Linked DNA regions of Caenorhabditis elegans. The protein of the gene in region 1 purifies or fractionates together with the protein of each later gene. This does not show direct contact. Each region holds a gene or a part of one and is shown in the gene's direction. Other genes may lie near its edges.

Region 1 (10,132 bases):
TCACTTGGTGGAGGACGTTCATTATCTTCTGGAGTCATATCAAGACCACCAACTTCATCCTCTCCTGGCGGGATCTTTTCTCAAAGAGTTATGGGAGCTGTTGCACAAGAAAAAGGGCCTGCTAAGAGACCGGTAAGTTTAATATATTAGAATTATTTATTAGGAGACTTTGATATTTTTTCTAATTTATTGCTTCAGAGTGTGCTCTCCCGAAGACCACTGATCCTTTCACCACGAAAAAAAACATCAACTCCACGACCAACACTCTCCCATCACGAGTCATCGCCAAACTTCTCAGCATCTTCTCCGGTGGTTGTTTCTGATGAGTATCTGATTCCAGCAACGGATATGGAAGTTGAAATGGTCGAAGAAGTCATTGATTCTATGGGAAACTCATCGTCTGAAGATGTTGCCACTTCTTCAACATCTTCCGAGAGGCAACCGATGCTTACGCTGGCAGAGGCTCTTGAGATGGATGGTTCAAGTGGAACAGTTAAAGATCAAGATATGGAAGAAATCTCAAAAGAAATGATGAAAGATGCTCATTACTACAGAGCAATGGAAGACGCTATCAAATGTCGCACCGTGACGAAAATGCGCGCTGACATGAGACTTTCCCGTCATTGCATCCGGCAAATTGAAGCTGCGAGAGCCAGGTGAGCCCATGGGAGGTCTACTTTGATAAATCGTTTAATTTTTTGCAGAGCTCGTCTGTTTGGCGAAAGGACTGAAGATTATCAAATTTTCTACTCTAACGATGGAGCACAAGTGGTATGTTTTTATTAGTTTCAATTCTGAATTTTAGTAACAATTTTCGTTTTTTAAAAGATTTTATTTATGTTGTTCTCAATTTGAAACCATTTGCTTTGAAAAAATTCCGATTGAAACATCAAAAATCACTGATCACAACACAATTTATTTTAAAAACATGTTTTCTCCGCTATTTGGCGTTATCAATCAGTTTGTTTCATTCTTATGATTTTCAGCTCACCAAAAAAGATCCAAAATGGCGTGAACTTCAACAACAACAACAACAACAACAACAGCAGCAAGAACAATTTCCAGGACAAGGATCATCGGATTCTCAACAATAATTATTTTTAATTATCAAAGAAAGTGCCTCAAAATTCAAGATTCAAAAGTCAATTGTCCTTTCGAGGATCGCCCCACATTTCTTTCATGTGAACTATCTCTGTTTTATATCCACAGAAGTTATCCCATTTTACTTTCATTCGAAATTCTTGAAATCTGATAAAAACTCCGACTAGGATAGATTTTCGTCTAGATTTTTAGGATTTTCACATTTACTTTTTTCCCATTTTTTACCCCCCCTCCCCCCTATAATTTACTTTCCAAAATTAATAGTTTGTTTTACTTTCCATAAGCCCCCGCCCCCTCCCCAAAAACCACACTTTTTCTATCATAAATTAATCTGAATTATTCACAAAAAATGAGCCAAAGTCTATTTAAACGTTTCCCTAGTTTTCAATTACATTCAAGTTTGAAAGATATGTGCGTTTGTGTGCCAAATATGACTAAAAGTCAATAAATAAATGATTTTGCTTGGTAGGTTTTTGAAAAGAGTTTTCAGATTATTTTTTCTATAGGCTACCTGATTATCCATAACATTATATTTTGAAAAAACCATGAAAAATTTAAAAAAATCCTAAAATTTAGAATGGCATCACCAGAAGCATCGTCTTCTGGAAATACAGAAGATCTTCGTATCGAAGATTTATTCCATCAAAAACGAAATGAAGATACGATTGCTAAAATATTTTCGATTATTTATGCTCCAGTTGGTGAGATTTTTTTCAAATTTTTTGACACATTCCAAAAAGTAAAAGTTTTAAAAAATCAAAATTTCAGGTTTAATTATTCTTTTAATTCGTGTTTTCCTCGGTTTCCACACATTTATTGTTGCATGTCTACTCAGAAAATCTGCTGCTTTGAGAATGCACACTCTTCGAATTATGTGCTCAATTCTCGGAATTGTCGTTGAAAAATCTGGTCACAGGTTTGTGATTTTTTTTTTGAAAAATATTTGATATCTCCAAAAAAATAGAAACAAGTTACTGAAAAATTGGAAGCTTGCCGTATTGCCCAGGCGCAAATTTTTTTGCGACTTCTGTCCCAAAAGTGAGGTACCTGGTCTCGAAATGACAATTTTTTTGTTAAATACAAAAACATGTGCGCCTTTAAAGAGTACGGTAGCTTTAAAATTTCGTTACTGTGGATTCATTGATTTTTCATAGTTTTTCTTACGATTTTTGTTAAAATCAATGTGTTTTAAGTGTTATTTTAGTTTTAAAAATTTATTTTAACGAAAAAACTTTGAAAAATTGATTTCAAAAATTCCGCAGCAACAAAAGTTCCATATATCCATTTATATTTTACAAAAAAAAAGTTTTTCAAGACCCGGGTGCTGTACTTTTTTTGCAAAATGAAATTCGGTAATTTTTAGTGTATCTAAAAAAAATTAAAAAAAAAAGGTCACTAACTATTCCTTAAAATGTTTTTTGCTTGCCGAGATATTCACAACTTCTTAGTATTAAAAAAAAAAGATTTTCAGAGATGAATCAGCTCGAGTTTTGTGCGCCAATCATGTATCAATTCTTGATCATTTAGCAGTTGATATTCTTACTCCATGCCTTCTTCCATCTGTTTGGGATATTCCATCGATTATTAGATGGTGTTTTGGATATGTAGATTTGGGAGCAACACGTGGAAGAGATCAACTTGTCAGTAGAGCCAAACAACTACTCACCAGAGAACAAATGCCACTTCTCGCATTTCCAGAAGGAATTATTACTAGTGGAGAAAAGGCATTGATCAAGTTTAAGTATGTCATTTGAACTTTCCAAATATTTTGTGATTTCGATTTCAAGATTTTTCAGCTAAAAATATGGTTTGTCACTACAAATTTGTGAAAAAAAATCTAAAAATCTTTTTACGCATTTTCATCAATTTTTCATAGTTTTTTTCATAAAATATAAAATTCACATTTTTAATGAAAAACTATGCAAAATCGATGAAAATTCAGCATAAATTAGGATTTTAAATTACAGTACTCTTTAAAGGCGCACACTTTTTGTCGGATAAAGAATTGTCATGTCAAGACCGGGTACCGTAGTTTTGGCGCAAAAATCATGAATCTCGAACCCAAATCTACTAAATTTTCAGTACTTGGTGTTTCGAGGTGTCTTCAGTAGTTCAACCCGTCTCAGTGCGTGTGTGGCGTCCGTATCCTTGGAAAGTTTCAGTTTCAGTATTGGGTTCTTCATGGTGGACTGATCTTTTCTATTTCTTTGCACTTCCGTTTACTGTTATCACTGTCGAATATCTTCCGAAAATGGAAAGACGAGAGAATGTAAAGAAAAATTGGAATTTCCAAATAAAAACAATTATTTCTAGGAATCACTCGAAGAATTCACCGCCCGAGTTGCCGAAACGTTGGCTGGAAATTTGAAGATTGCAGTGTCAAAGTTTGGAATTTCGGACGCAACAGAAGCAGCAAAACGGCTTAGAACAGATAGAGAACGTGCGAAAAAAGTTGTCGTTAGAGAGAAGGTATTTGTTTCCAATAATTTGTTTTCTTTAAAAAATGAAAATTTTCAAGACTTCACCTAGACTTGCGGATCCTCGTCAAATGGACGAATGTGCAATGAGAATCAAACAATCATTTCCATCATTCCATTTATCTGCAATTCGACGTGATTTGGAGAAAACTCGTAGTCAAACTACAACTGTTAATAATTTGAAAGCTGGTAAAATTTCATCATCAGCATCGGATGGTCAAACTGGAAAGGTTAGGAACTACAAATTCGATGAATTGCCCAGAAATACTGAGATTTTTAAGCCTAAGACTACTGTACCCGGTCTCAACACGACAATTTTTTGTAAAATACAAACCGCCGTGTGTCTTTAAAGAGAACTGTAATTTAAAACTTTCGTAGCTGACAGAATTTTCATCGATTTTCAGTTGTTCGACACAAATACATTCATTTATTGGAAAAACTAAATTAAAACAATAAAAAACATAAATTTTAATAAATCGTGAGAGTAAATATGACAAATCGATGAAAATACCTCAGCTACCAAAAGGTTGAAACTACAGTACTCTCTAAAGGCGCACATCCGTTTTGTATTTAGCAAAAACTGTTGTGTCGAACCCAGGTATCGTAGTTTTGACATTAAATATGAAGAATATCTAAATAACAATTTTCAGGTTACATTGGACGCTGGTACGTGGCGTGGAGTATTCGACAATCGAAAATGGCAGATGATCGAAGTTAATCGCCAAAAATACATGAACCGCGATTCTTAAATTTTCAAATTAGATTATTCGATTTTTCTTTGGATTTTAAAACCTTTTAGTCATCATGCCTTGTCATTTCCTTTGCCTGTTCGATTAATTTATTGCATATGCTTTGTCTATTAATGAAAAAAAAACGTTTATTATTATACAAAGTAGAGTTTACAAGTATATATATATATATAAGGAAACGAAGTCTGAAACATCGAAAAGCGGGAAGAGTCAAGATAGATAAAGACTTTTTTTGTATTTTTTTAGTTTATCCCGTAGATTTAGTTGCCAAAAAAGGAAAATAATACCGTTGAAACAAATCAAATGAAAAATAAGGAAGACAGTGAAACTGATAAAAAACGAAACGAGAGGATCGAGATCATTATTTGATAAGATAGAAATATGAAAAGAAAGAAAAAAAGGTGAGAATAGTATCTAAAAGTCGACAACAAGAGTGGAAACCGGTGAGAACGAGGAAGGACAAGAGAAGGAAAAAGGAAAAAAAATGAAGAGGAAAAAAGAAACATTGAATAAAAATGCGGAAAGAAAACCTACTGTACATCAGGAATTGAACCCAAATAAAGAGCAAAGTAGAAGAAACGGAAATAACAGTGAGGGAAGCTCTTAAACGAGCTCCCCTTCCTCCATCTCATCCAGCCGGGGTGGCAAGATTGGCGGCGGTGGAGGTGGCGGCAGTAGTATCTGTGATACAGGTGGGGAAGGCTCATCAGGAGGTGATATTTGTTGCGTTGATGACATCGTATGTCGAGAATCGGCCGGATTTCTGCAACTGAGGAAAGATTATATTAATCATTTTCCAAGCTAACTCCAAGTCGTCTTTCAATTAACTTGTTAAAACTGATAAGTGTTGCTTTTAATTTAACTTACCGTTGATACTCCATACACATTTTTTGATATGTGGAAGGTTGGGCAGATACCGACATGAGAGGAGGCGGAGCGACTTGATTTAACATCATTTCGTTTACTCCTCGAGCATATGTTGAAATGTTTTGCTGGTGCGTCGTTTGCGAAAAATGATCATTGTGCATAGTAGCTATGGTTGTTGATGACGAAGCAACGAAACTCATCTTGTAATCGATCCTTGGTTTTTTCGAACTGAAAAAGTTTAGTATTATACATTTTAGACTTTTCAGATCTGTTGAGGTATGTTCATGGAGGGAAAACATTATCAAGCGTACCTATTCGTCTCTTCGTACATCATTGACCTTTTCGCTGATCGAGAATCTTCGTTGTATGGCTTCTGATGTTGGTGTGCCGATAGACCGGATGAGGACCTATTCTGATGATTGCTATTGTTTGAAGCTGATGAAGACGTAGAATGGTGGTGAAGAGGATGAGAACTGCTGCTGGGACGGTGTCCGTTACGATGAATTTTCTGCTGAGCAGCTTCTTTCATCCTTTGTTCCATCAACTCTTGCTCGACTACCTTCTGATTCTTTACATCTGGCAGGAAACTCGGTCGCGTTGAAGGCGAATCAGAAGAATTGGAAAGTGGCTTCGGTCGGCCTTTATATGACTCCAAATCGATTTTCTTGAGATTAGACGACGATCCAGAAGGTGTTACTGTAGATGAGACTTGTGGCGGCATTCCGACAATTTTAACCTTTCCGAGTGGATCAATCTTTTTAAGAGACCCAATGTGGAATTGTGGATTTCGGCTGAAGATATCTAGGAATTCCTTAGTCATGGCCTCAACTTCTTCACGAGTCATTGACTGATCTTCTAGTCGGTACCACCTATCAGATAACTCAAATGGAACGATATCGTCCATGTTGATGTTATGAAAGAAGGCAGCTATGTTTACGCAAGCAGTTGCTATTGAAGCACATGAGTATCGCACACTCCAGTCGGTGATTATTAATCTGAAAAATTATATTAGTTGTAATAGTTGGCTCAAGTCAATTAAAGAAAACTTACACATCAGTGGCCATGTAATATGCAGTTTTCACCATATCCTTGTATACATTTCTACCTTTCTCGACATCGCGCATTAATTTTAGAACATACTGATGAGGTAGATCTACATTGATATCGAAGGCTGAAAATACAAAATGAAAAAATACTATTTTTTAATAGAAAAGTCAGTTCGGAAGGATATTGATAAAGAACTTACAAATGGTTTTGAGAAGTACATCCTCTATTAACGTGACGACATTACACTGATCTAAGAAGTGTTGCTCTGATTGAAACTGCTTATTGTGTGGATATTTGAACTGCCACAGTTGTGTAACCACATATTTCAGCTTCTTGGGTGCATCTTCGTTCTTTCCTGCCAAAAAGACACATGCTGCCGCCACGTCTCGGAAATCACACCGTTTGAGCGAGTGAACGTTGAAGAATCGGTTAAACAGAGTTGCCGCCACTCCACTCAGACCGCTGGAATATATCGCAGTGCTCGATGAGGAGAGAATCAAGACATTGTCTCGAAAAGATTAGGAAGCGAAAGAAATGATCACAAGAGATGGCGTTTTTATGAATTGTAAAACTATATGAACCCATCTAAATCCTAAATTTTACAATTCGCCTCACTTGAAATTCACTCGATTCTAAATCTTTATCCTATCACTGCACTCACTGCTCTCCTTTGCCATGTGTCAATTGCATGGCAATGTCAAAGATGAAGACTCCTCCTTGTTGTCGTTTTGACAGCTCCTCCTCGTATGTCATTCCTTCTCGTCGACTTGGAGTGTCCGCCAACATCTAAAAATTAAACATTTGAACACTGAACGGTATTATCGATTAGGTCCCAATAATGCTGGAAAATTTTGAACAACCATCAGTGAATTTTTTTTAGTGTTGCTCGTTTTCAAATGTTCCCCGATTGGTGGAATCTCCTAAAATTCTAATGTCAGCATGTACTAAATACAATTCGATGAAAATATATGTTAGAGTTTTTATGTACGAGCACAAGGACCCGGAAAATTATTTTACGAAAAACCACCAAAAATTTACTTTTTCTGGATAATTGGGAAATTTTTTACCAATAAATTGGAAAAATAAAAAGAAAACATACATCTTGCTTTTTTCGGAGCCAAGGATGAATCATTCTGCCATATCTGGACCCATTCTTCTCTGCGATCAATTTGTTCGAATTCGACATACTGATCAATGCTGAAAAAAATATATAAAAAAGAATATCAAATGTTCACGACGAAACACGATAAAAACAATAAATAGATACAAATAATCGATGAATGAAATGGAATTGCTGAGGGAGGAGAAGGAGGAATAAGCGACGGGACAGCGTCCAAAAATCGATATTACCTAGGAAAGACAAAAATTCGTAGTGGCCATTTACAGAATTATCTCCTGGCAATATCCGGTCAGGATACCGAACAATCGTCAAGACATAAAGGAAACTAGAAAACAACTATCACATGAGCAGAATAAACTTAAATTTCGAAATATTTCATAATTCTGGAACGGTTTTATTCGATAATACCTAGCTGAATTTGCACGAATACAGATCGATCCACTGATTAGCGCATATAAAACACGAACATCCAAATTGTGCTATTGAGAAATTGAAAATCCGAGAATATAAAAATTAGCAATAGCACTCTAGAAAAACGTAATTTTCTCCCGGGACCCGTTGCAAATCTTGGCAAACCTATGATTTTCTGGTTCAAAATAAGTTAAATTACTTAAAAAATCACAAAAACGTTAGAGTTTTTCGGCGAAATCGAAAAATGAACAGTGTTTTTCAGAAAACAAGGAAAAATGGTGTTAGTGATGCAAAAAAGGATTTTCACTCAATGTTCAATGTCAAAAATACATGTGAGCTGAAAAGCACGTGATAATGCAACACTTACGCTTGAAAAATACAGAAAATCGATAAAATTTAACTGAAAATCGGCTGAAAATGGGTAGGTGACTCAGAAAAAAAGCTTTGCCTGCCGCGACGCGACACGCAGCGCGTCCGCTTGAGCGCGCTTGTGTCGTCCAGGTTTCACATTAAAACTGGATTTTTGTGAAGCTTTTCACCGGAATTTTTTATTTTATGACAGTGAAAAATCAAATAATGTGTAATTTTTTGGGGAACTCTGGAAATTTATTCAGATTTTTAGAGAATTAAACTCAAATGCGATGTCGGTGTCGAGTCGAGGCGCGGCTTCCCCAGCACATCGGACCGCGCCAACCAAATGGCTCTTCACCAAAGAGGAGGTGCGAAAATTAGAATTAAAACTCAATAATTAATATTTTGAATTTTTAAGATGAAAAAGACAGCGAGCATTCAAGAAGGAATGAGCAGAGAAGAAGAACTAGCCTCCCGACAAATGGCCGCCGCGTTCATCCAAGAAATGATAGATGGATTGAACAATGTTAAAGATCCAAAAATGAAAATGTAACTTTTACAACGAAAACTTTATCAAAAAATGTTCTTGAAAATGCTTTTTCAGCGGTCACACGGGTCTTTGCGTTGCACATACACATATGCATCGCTTTTATTATTTGCATAGCTTCAAAAAGTATGATTATAGAGTAAGACCTTTATCCGTAAATTGAAAAAATTTTTAAAAATCCATTTCAGGACGTAGGTGCTGCTTGTGTATTTTTAGCGGGTAAAAGTCAGGAGTGTCCAAGAAAATTATCACATGTGATCAGTGTATGGCGGGAGCGAAAGGATAGAAAACAATTGACGACGGAAACTGTGAGTATAGAAATTAAGGTTTTTAAAGATTTTTTCCCCTATTTGTATTTCTAAAAACACTAGAAAGCACAATTGCAATACAAATTTCACGGGTCAAACTTTAGAAACCCGATTTCGTGATTTTTCAGGCTAGGAATGAAGCAGCCCAAATTATTGTTCTTCTGGAGAGCATGATTCTACAGACAATCGGTAAGAACTTTATCAGATTACTTTTAAATATAAAAATTTCAGCATTCGATCTCAACGTTCATCTTCCTCATATTTATGTTCTGGATATCATGAAAAAAGTTGATAAAAGTAAATTGTTAATTTTGAAAAGAAAACAAATAACTGAACATTATTTTCAGAAGAGCATTATCGACCTTTGACATCTTGCGCCTACTATTTTGCCACAGACGTGTATGTTTTCAAAATCATAAATTCAAATGTAATAATTTTTAAATTTCAGAATAGCTGTAACAGACTGGTCACTTCGATATTCTGCAGCGTCAATGTCTATTGTAATTATTCATTTAATGGCAGCCTATGCCAATGTCCGGGTGAGATTTAGAAAAAAATGGTAGTAAAATTGCTTAGAGAAAGATTTCCAAAAATTTTTGAAAAGTAAAATAATCATTAACAATTAATCTAAATTTCAGATAGAGCGATTATTTGCCGATTTCATCAATGAAGATTCACCGTGGTATGCGAAATTTGACGAAACAATGACGAACGAGAAGCTGAGAGGTTCGTAAAATTCGAATTTAACAAAAAAAAACGACATTTAAAGTGCATCAAATTTTGATTTATGGATGCTCGAAATTTAATCAATTTTTTAGTGAGAAGGTTTTTGAGCTGTAAAAATAAATCCTGAATGTTTTTGAAATAAAATACATTTTAAAGTTTTTTTTTAAGTATAAAGTTTCGTTAAAAAAAATAGAATTTACGGTGGAGTATCGTGAATTTTGCTTGAAATTGCCAGAATAGGCTTAAATTTAAAAAAAAAATCATTTAGAGCGTACTCAGGAGCAGTTTTAAAAGTTCGATTTTTGGTTTTTTTTAAAGCGAAATCCCTATTTAAGCAAGACAACATGTTATTAAAATATTTATGAAAAATGGTTTTTTTTTCAGAAATGGAAGTAGATTTCCTTGTAACATATCGGAATTCCTGTCAA
Region 2 (7,149 bases), on another chromosome or scaffold:
TTCAATAGTGATTGAATGCAACTATGTTGTAAAATAAAATAAAAATTATGTGTTTATTTGTTTCGTAAGGAAGTTGGACATTTATACGGCTTCTTCGGGAACTTTCCAATTCTTAAATGATCTCTCCGATAATTTTGGTGGTCGATTTCTCCGTGTCTCCTGAAGATAACATTTTCATTAGCTTTTGTGAAGAGGGTAATTTACCATGCTTGAGGCTCTCACAGACTCGCTGAATAATTCAATAGAATCTTCTCTGAGTTTATCTAGAATCTGTCTTGTCTGTTCATCAGTATAAACTTTTGAACTCTTTCTGTATTTACCATCTTCAGTTGGCATCAAGAGAATTACCTGAAGCACAACGTTGATTTTATCGTCTTCAAACATGGTCTAACCTGAGGTGAAGGTTTATTTTCAATTGAGTGAATCCAATCACGAGCCTTGAATACAAGACATCGTATTCCAAATGCACTGAGCCGAATGATGAGAAGTATAAGTAAAATTGATAATATAACAAGAACAACTTTAATATATGATGATAGTGAGATGGCTTCTGTTACAATTGAGTCGACTTCGGCTGAAATTTTTCGGAAATTTCATGAGTAAATGATAAAAGTTATGACTTTAAATAAATCTTATATTAGGTAGGCGCCTAAAAATGAGAATTCATCTCAAGCACATTGGTCTCGCCACGCTCGCAATGGGTTACTGTAACTTGTCTCGATTCAACGCTATTGCATACGTAATATTCTTGTTTGAAGAATGTTTGCACCAATTCTTAATTTGATTTGTAAATAATAATACAAATAAATGCTCCATAAAATGGCACGAGTTACAGTAACACGTGGTCATTGTGGCCCATGTGCGTAAGGAATTTCTTGTAGAAATGGCGAAAAATCACATTTTTAAAGGTCTACACAATTGTAGTAATCAATTTAAAATGACGTCATCATGAACAGGAGTATCGATTTTTCGGTTGTTTTTAACTCATTATAATGTTAATTTTTATGATTAAAATTAAGTTTCTTTTGAAAATATAAAATTGTTTTAAATCATCAAATTCGTCATTTTTGTTCTAGAGTTTCCTAGTTTTTTCTGTGCATGTCATTTTCAATTTACGATATTTTCGATTATCAGAAACATTGAAAAATCCAAAACTTTCGACGAGATCACTCAATTTCGAACGTTCTTTTCCATGCATTATATTCAAACCAGATTTAGAAAAGAACATTGATCTACGATCTCCTGTTCGTTTATATTTTGAACTAACTTGTGATATTAAATGAAAGTCGTGTGAATTCTTCTTCAAATTTATCTCCAAGATCGCCAGCTTTATCAGTAACTGATTTGAATAATCGAGTACCAAGATTGTTCAACATTAGATAATCTTTTAAATTGTTGAAATGAGGAATATGTTTGGCAGAGGATGATGATGAATCACCAGAATTGACGACAACAACTTGTTTTCAACTTGTGGTGGTGATCGAAGGTATACGAACAATTCGCGCGCATCGATTGAAGAACCGAAAAAGGTCGTTTTCTAATTGGAAACGAGGGAGAGGAAAAGAGACTGAACGATGTTGAATAACTGAATAAAACTGTGAAACGATGTTTACCGAGCTTTTTCGCAAACACTTTGGACATCTTTGGATTGAAATTCTTTTCGTCTTATTTGGAAAAATATTTTTCTAAAAAAGAATTTCCCTCTTTCAAATAGGTGCGTAGTATATCCACTAGAATTTCAGGATTGACGGCTCAGGGACCATCTTATACTGATTATGTCATAGATGTAATTTTGTTTTTGATTTCTGATTATTGACATTCTTCGCTTAAGTCTGAAATTTCTAAGAGTGTAGTTCATACAGTTTTGATTTTCTTCTTTTTTTTCCAAATCCTAATCCACTGTAACTTTTCTGAAAATAGGTTTTTTTCATATTACCCATAAATTTTACATTCTTTTCTGATATGTTTTTTCGTAGTTTTTCGCTTTAAAATTCAAATTATATTTTTGAAAACATGTAAACGAATTTATATTTTGAAAATTTAATGAAACAATTTATTGAAGTTGTAGGCAATTATTATGGCACAAGAAACAATAAAACATGTGAACAGATTAAAACGTATCAAAAATTAATCTCTATGCAAAATACTGGGTGCTAAAAGAAAGGTTTATAGTTTTTTTTTTTGTAATTTATATCATATTATCGATTTTTCAAAAGTTATAGGCTGCCAATAAAAAATTTTGAGAGAACTTTTGCGAAATTTAAAATTTGTGAAGTTTCTCACAAAAAAGTGAAGATCAAAACTTTGTCAAACAGATAATATGATTGCTAGATTTTGGGAACAAAGAATCAAATTATTCCTGCTCGAGTTCAATAAGTACACCTCCACAATCCTTTGGATGCAAGAACATTACTTCTTTTCCATGAGCTCCAATTTTTGGTTTCTCACCCAAAGTACGAATTCCTTTTGTTTTAACAGCAGAAACAGCTTCATGAATATCACGAACTTCAATACAAATATGATGCATTCCACCGTCCTTATTCTTATTCAAAAAAGCTTGAATTGGAGATTTCTCGCCGAATGGATGAAGAAGCTCGATTTTTGAGTTTGGAAGCTCAACGAAGACAGTGTAGACTCCATGTTCTGGTTGTGGCTGTAATTATTCAATTCAAAAATTTTAATATAAACTAGATGAGACATTTTATTTTTTATTTGCGGATTTTTATCATTTTTATGAAAAAACTTGTAATTAAATAAATATTTTTCAAGTAAGTTTACTGTAGTACACAAAATTCGCTTCATTCGCATTTTATTTCATTTTTCAGTTGTAGGGGTTTTTCCAAAATTTTTCGTTTTTTGTTATGCTATTTCAAAATTTTAGGCTATTCAATTTTTATTTTGATTTATGCTACAAAGAATTTAACAAAAATATTTTCTACATATTTTTGCTCTAAATTTTTATTGACATTAGGAAGAAACAAAAATTAAAGACTAACCACAGCCTCGCTAACTTTTGCTCCGAGGCCCTTGTAGAATTCCGATGATTTCTTGAGATCTGGTGTGGCAATGGCGACGTGGTTCAACTTTCCGAGAAGTCCTGCCAATGGATGGGAAGCCATGGTCTGAAAAGTCAAAATTTTTAAAGTAAAAAAGCGATTATCTAATAGTTTTCATCAGAAAAAATAGAAAAACCTACTCTTGTGGACAGCGAAAGCTTAGCAGAATTGACAAGGGCGAGTGTAGAACGGAAGGATGCCATTTTCAAAAGAAGAATCTATAAACATGGTTACTGTACTTTAATAAAATTTATAAAACTCGAAAAATGCTAAGTAATAAGCGTTTAAATGATTGAAACATCTGTGAGAAAATGAAAAGTAACAGAAACAAACAAAAGTTTAGATAAGAAAATGTTTTTGACATTGAAAATTCGGTCAATGAACCCGCTGTAAACTTGCTTTTTGCACGCACTCACTTTGATTACAACGACACTCCGATATTACACAAGTGCTTGTTGTTTATCTTATTTTATTTCGGGCAATTTTTGTGCCAATTTTCAGCTTTACTTTGTTTTTAACGTTTTAGAAGAATATTTTCCGGAAAAATATGTTAAATTATTAAAATATAAATTGTTCACTTCTTATCAGCAAAGCATTCGCTGCCCTAAGCATGCTAATTATTTATTTTGAGTTGATTCAAATATCAGAAGAGTTTTGATGCTTTCTTTATTTTGTACCAATTCCTTTTTTTTCAGCCAAGATGGGAACTAAACTGTCCGTCTCATTGGAAGGAGCCAGTACACCAGAAACCGCGCCACGTGTCGACAGACCACCAACTTTCGATCCTCAGTATGGATTCGAGCGACCGAGAAAGGTAAACAACTTTTTTAAAAGTTCATTAAATAACTGTTCATTTAATTCATAAATATTCAATATAATAAAGTTTAATATTCAAGGTCCGCGAGATGAAGGCTACTTGGGAAGAGATGGAGCAGTGGAAGTTGAAGCCAGCTCAACGCGATTATTGTGCTCACCACTTGATTTCACTCATGAAATGCCAAGTAAGATTTTTGTTTTAGTTACAATGATATATTTTTAAAATTATATAAAAATACACATCTAAAATTATTTTCTCAAAAACAGCAAAAATAATTTATTATATTCAGACCCAAAATGCACCATTTGCCGGACACGCGTGCGACGGAGAACGTGGAGCTTGGGATAAATGTGAATATGATGATCATATCATGAGAATCAAAGAATTCGAACGTGAACGACGATTGCTTCAAAGACAGGCTCGCAAAGAAGCCACTGCTTGAATAGATGTCGATGAGATATTTCTTTAAATGATTTTTGATAATAGTATAGTTTTTTGTGAATACTATGTGTCTTTTGTTTCGTTTCTTTTTCTCTCGATTTCGGATAAATATTGAGTCGTACACTTTTTTTTAATGTTGAAAATTTTTTTGTTGTTCGTATCATTTGTAATATATCTATGCTATAATGATTCCGATTAGTTTTCCATATTATAATTTAAAAACACCTTTCAGAGATGACCGAAATCCGAAAAGTCGTCCAAGAAACAATGGTTGGAAAACCAGAAGACGAAATTCAGGTTAGAAATTGTCAAATTTTTTTGAATTATCTAAAAACCTACATATTCTGTCATGGATCCATTCATCAAATAAGTTTCAGACTTTCGAAAAATGTCTCCGTCTCGTTGGATCCAATCGAACACGTAAAGAACAAGAACTAGGATTTTGTCTTATGTCGAGAATGATCATCAAATGTTCTTCACAAACTCTACGAGCAGTTCAATCGCGATTGGCTAATCGACTTGCTCATATCTCGGATCATTTTCAATTATGTGGATCACTTTATACTCGAGAACTTCTTGTTAGAAATCCGCAAGCTGGAGAACTTCATTCTCCAATTGTATTCAAGATTATTCTTAATTGCATGGATGCTGCTGCACAAACAAGTGATCCCAATATTCGTGGATTGGCTGCTGAACTGTTTGGATTGAGAATTAGCAATCAGAATCTAACAATGTTGTTGAATACGCTTGAAGTTTTGTTGAGTGCAACCAAGATTAAAAATGTATCAAATGGTTAGTAATTTTATCAACAAAAAAAAGTACAACTCTATTGGCACGTAAAATCTGAATTTATTTTCAGATCTCCTTCAGCTTAGAACATTGGGAGTGTCTTCTCATCGAGATTCGCTGACTTCTCTTCTTTTTGAAGTTCTCGCACTTTCACTCGGATACGCTTCAAAGCCGGGATTATTTGTAGAACGAAAAGATATAATTCAAGTTATTGAATTGGGAATTAATAATCCGAAAAATCGATCTGTTGCATTTGCATGTCTCCGTTCAATGTGTGTAAACACGAAGTATTCACTTATTCCAATGGTAAGCTTTAAAAATGTATTTTCAGATAAAAAAAATAGTACCCGGCCTCGACGCGCCTTTTTGTTAAATACAAATGGGTGTGCGCCTTTAAGAGTACTGTAATTTCAATATTTCGTTGATGCGAAATTTTTACTGATTTTTCATAGTTTTTTCATTCAAAGTTTTTTTTTGTGAAATGAAACTACTAAAAACATCAATTCTACAAATTGTGAGAAAAACTATGAAAACTCCGCAGCAACCAAAGTTTGAAATTACAGTACTCTTGAAGGCGCACACCCGTTTGTGTTTTAAAAACTTTGTCGTTTCGAGACCGGCCATATTTTTGGAGATTTTGTTTTATTTTGAAATGTCAAAAATGAAAGGTAAAGGAAGTTTAATGGAATAACTCAATTCTTATAAATTCGAATTACATGTTTTCTTTAATGAAATCTAATTTTTCACAGATCGGCAGAATCGTATCTACTCTGATTTCTGAACTTGAATCGCCCGACGTTGATTTAATCAAAACTCTTGCATTCATTTCGAAAACGTTTGGACCTGTCACTTCAACACTTTACAAACATTTCTATGTAATCTTCACTGCATTGAAGCATCCAATTCATGAGCAATGTTACGGAGAACACGTGGGAAATCTACTTTCCAGCATTATCGAATCGGCGGCTTCTCTCATTAAGCCAGAAGTGTTTGCCACTGTTCAAAAAGCAGTTTGTGAGGTAATTATAGAGTTTTTGAAAAAAATTATTTAAATAATACAATTACAGTCTGCCATTATGCATCCGGATAGTTCAATCTATCTTCAATTGCTTGCTGCATTCCTTACTTTGAACAATGAATATGTTCCATCTCCATTGCAAGTCGCTCGAGTTATTTCATCAAGAACTCGAAATACTTCTGAGCATTCTCATAGATTAAGAGCTCTTTGCAATGTTGCATCCCGCCCTAGAACTACGGTAAGAGAAATAGATTTTAAGTTAATTATAATATTGATTTTTGTTAAGGATCTTGCAAATGTGAAAGCCAAGAAAACACTTGTTCTCAAAGAGGAAAATACTATTCAAGCTCCAACTGCCGCGTCCGAAGATTTGAAGGAAAAGGAAGAAGTGGAGCAAGAATTTGAAGAAATGGAAACAGAAGATAAGGAAGAGGAGATTGTTCCAGTGGTGGTAGAGAAGAAAATAGAAGAGGTTCCAGAAGCTTCATCCAGAAAAAAGAAAAATAGTGAGAGCAGTACTACAGCCACTTCAACTGTGGCCAAAAAGAAGAAGAAGTCAGTGGTTAACGATGTTAAAACTAATCTTTTGGAAGGAGAAGCATCGGTTGATGATATTCTGAACCTTTTTGATATGTCTTAAAGTTTTCCCATTCCCATCGTTTTTTGTTTGTTATTTTCTTGTTGTTGCCTGTTATGAAAATCTGACGATATTATTCAAAGTTATATATGTACATAGGAGAAAAAAAATGATAGGAGACAATAATCAAACTAAAATGCCTACAGAAAAAACAGACGAAACCGCAGTGGAGATTCGTGTGAAAAGAGTGTACAGATACGAATAGGATTCGTTTAAAAAAAAGAAAACCCATAGAATAAAAAATGATTAGAATAATAAATCAGATGGAAATCAAAATGAGTCTCTAAGCGACAGCCGACTTCTTCATAGGTGAAACGTCTTCTTCTTCAACAACTTGGGATTTACGTCGTGAATATTCAACCTCTTTCTCACCAAGGATTGCTTCTCTGAA

Evidence for each region.
Region 2: the proteins of F44B9.5 (region 1) and ndub-7 fractionate together in Caenorhabditis elegans (co-fractionation; one large-scale study listed by BioGRID). This does not show direct contact.

The regions. Positions count from the first base shown.
Region 1 is NC_003281.10:8,008,084-8,018,215, reverse strand, and holds F44B9.5 (Lipid droplet-regulating VLDL assembly factor AUP1 homolog), read left to right. Parts: upstream 1-1,677; 5' UTR 1,678-1,678; coding exon 1,679-1,802; intron 1,803-1,869; coding exon 1,870-2,017; intron 2,018-2,572; coding exon 2,573-2,842; intron 2,843-3,183; coding exon 3,184-3,370; intron 3,371-3,414; coding exon 3,415-3,570; intron 3,571-3,619; coding exon 3,620-3,808; intron 3,809-4,228; coding exon 4,229-4,327; 3' UTR 4,328-4,463; downstream 4,464-10,132. Other genes in the region: Protein lin-36, read left to right, coding at 1-132, 199-656, 705-771, 987-1,094; cit-1.2 (Cyclin-T1.2), read right to left, coding at 4,931-5,090, 5,195-5,422, 5,506-6,189, 6,245-6,365, 6,441-6,703, 6,903-7,027, 7,341-7,427; cit-1.1 (Cyclin-T1.1), read left to right, coding at 8,414-8,491, 8,542-8,672, 8,728-8,809, 8,859-8,978, 9,107-9,167, 9,210-9,275, 9,326-9,377, 9,427-9,517 and 2 more.
Region 2 is NC_003279.8:7,578,231-7,585,379, reverse strand, and holds ndub-7 (NADH dehydrogenase [ubiquinone] 1 beta subcomplex subunit 7), read left to right. Parts: upstream 1-3,751; 5' UTR 3,752-3,756; coding exon 3,757-3,870; intron 3,871-3,952; coding exon 3,953-4,057; intron 4,058-4,162; coding exon 4,163-4,315; 3' UTR 4,316-4,436; downstream 4,437-7,149. Other genes in the region: D2030.12 (DUF4129 domain-containing protein), read right to left, coding at 82-159, 205-348, 393-574, 1,268-1,376; mce-1 (Methylmalonyl-CoA epimerase, mitochondrial), read right to left, coding at 2,354-2,653, 2,997-3,122, 3,197-3,259; D2030.3 (Fanconi anemia group I protein), read left to right, coding at 4,549-4,611, 4,692-5,106, 5,174-5,409, 5,853-6,122, 6,171-6,359, 6,408-6,761; D2030.2 (ATP-dependent Clp protease ATP-binding subunit clpX-like, mitochondrial), read right to left, coding at 7,042-7,144.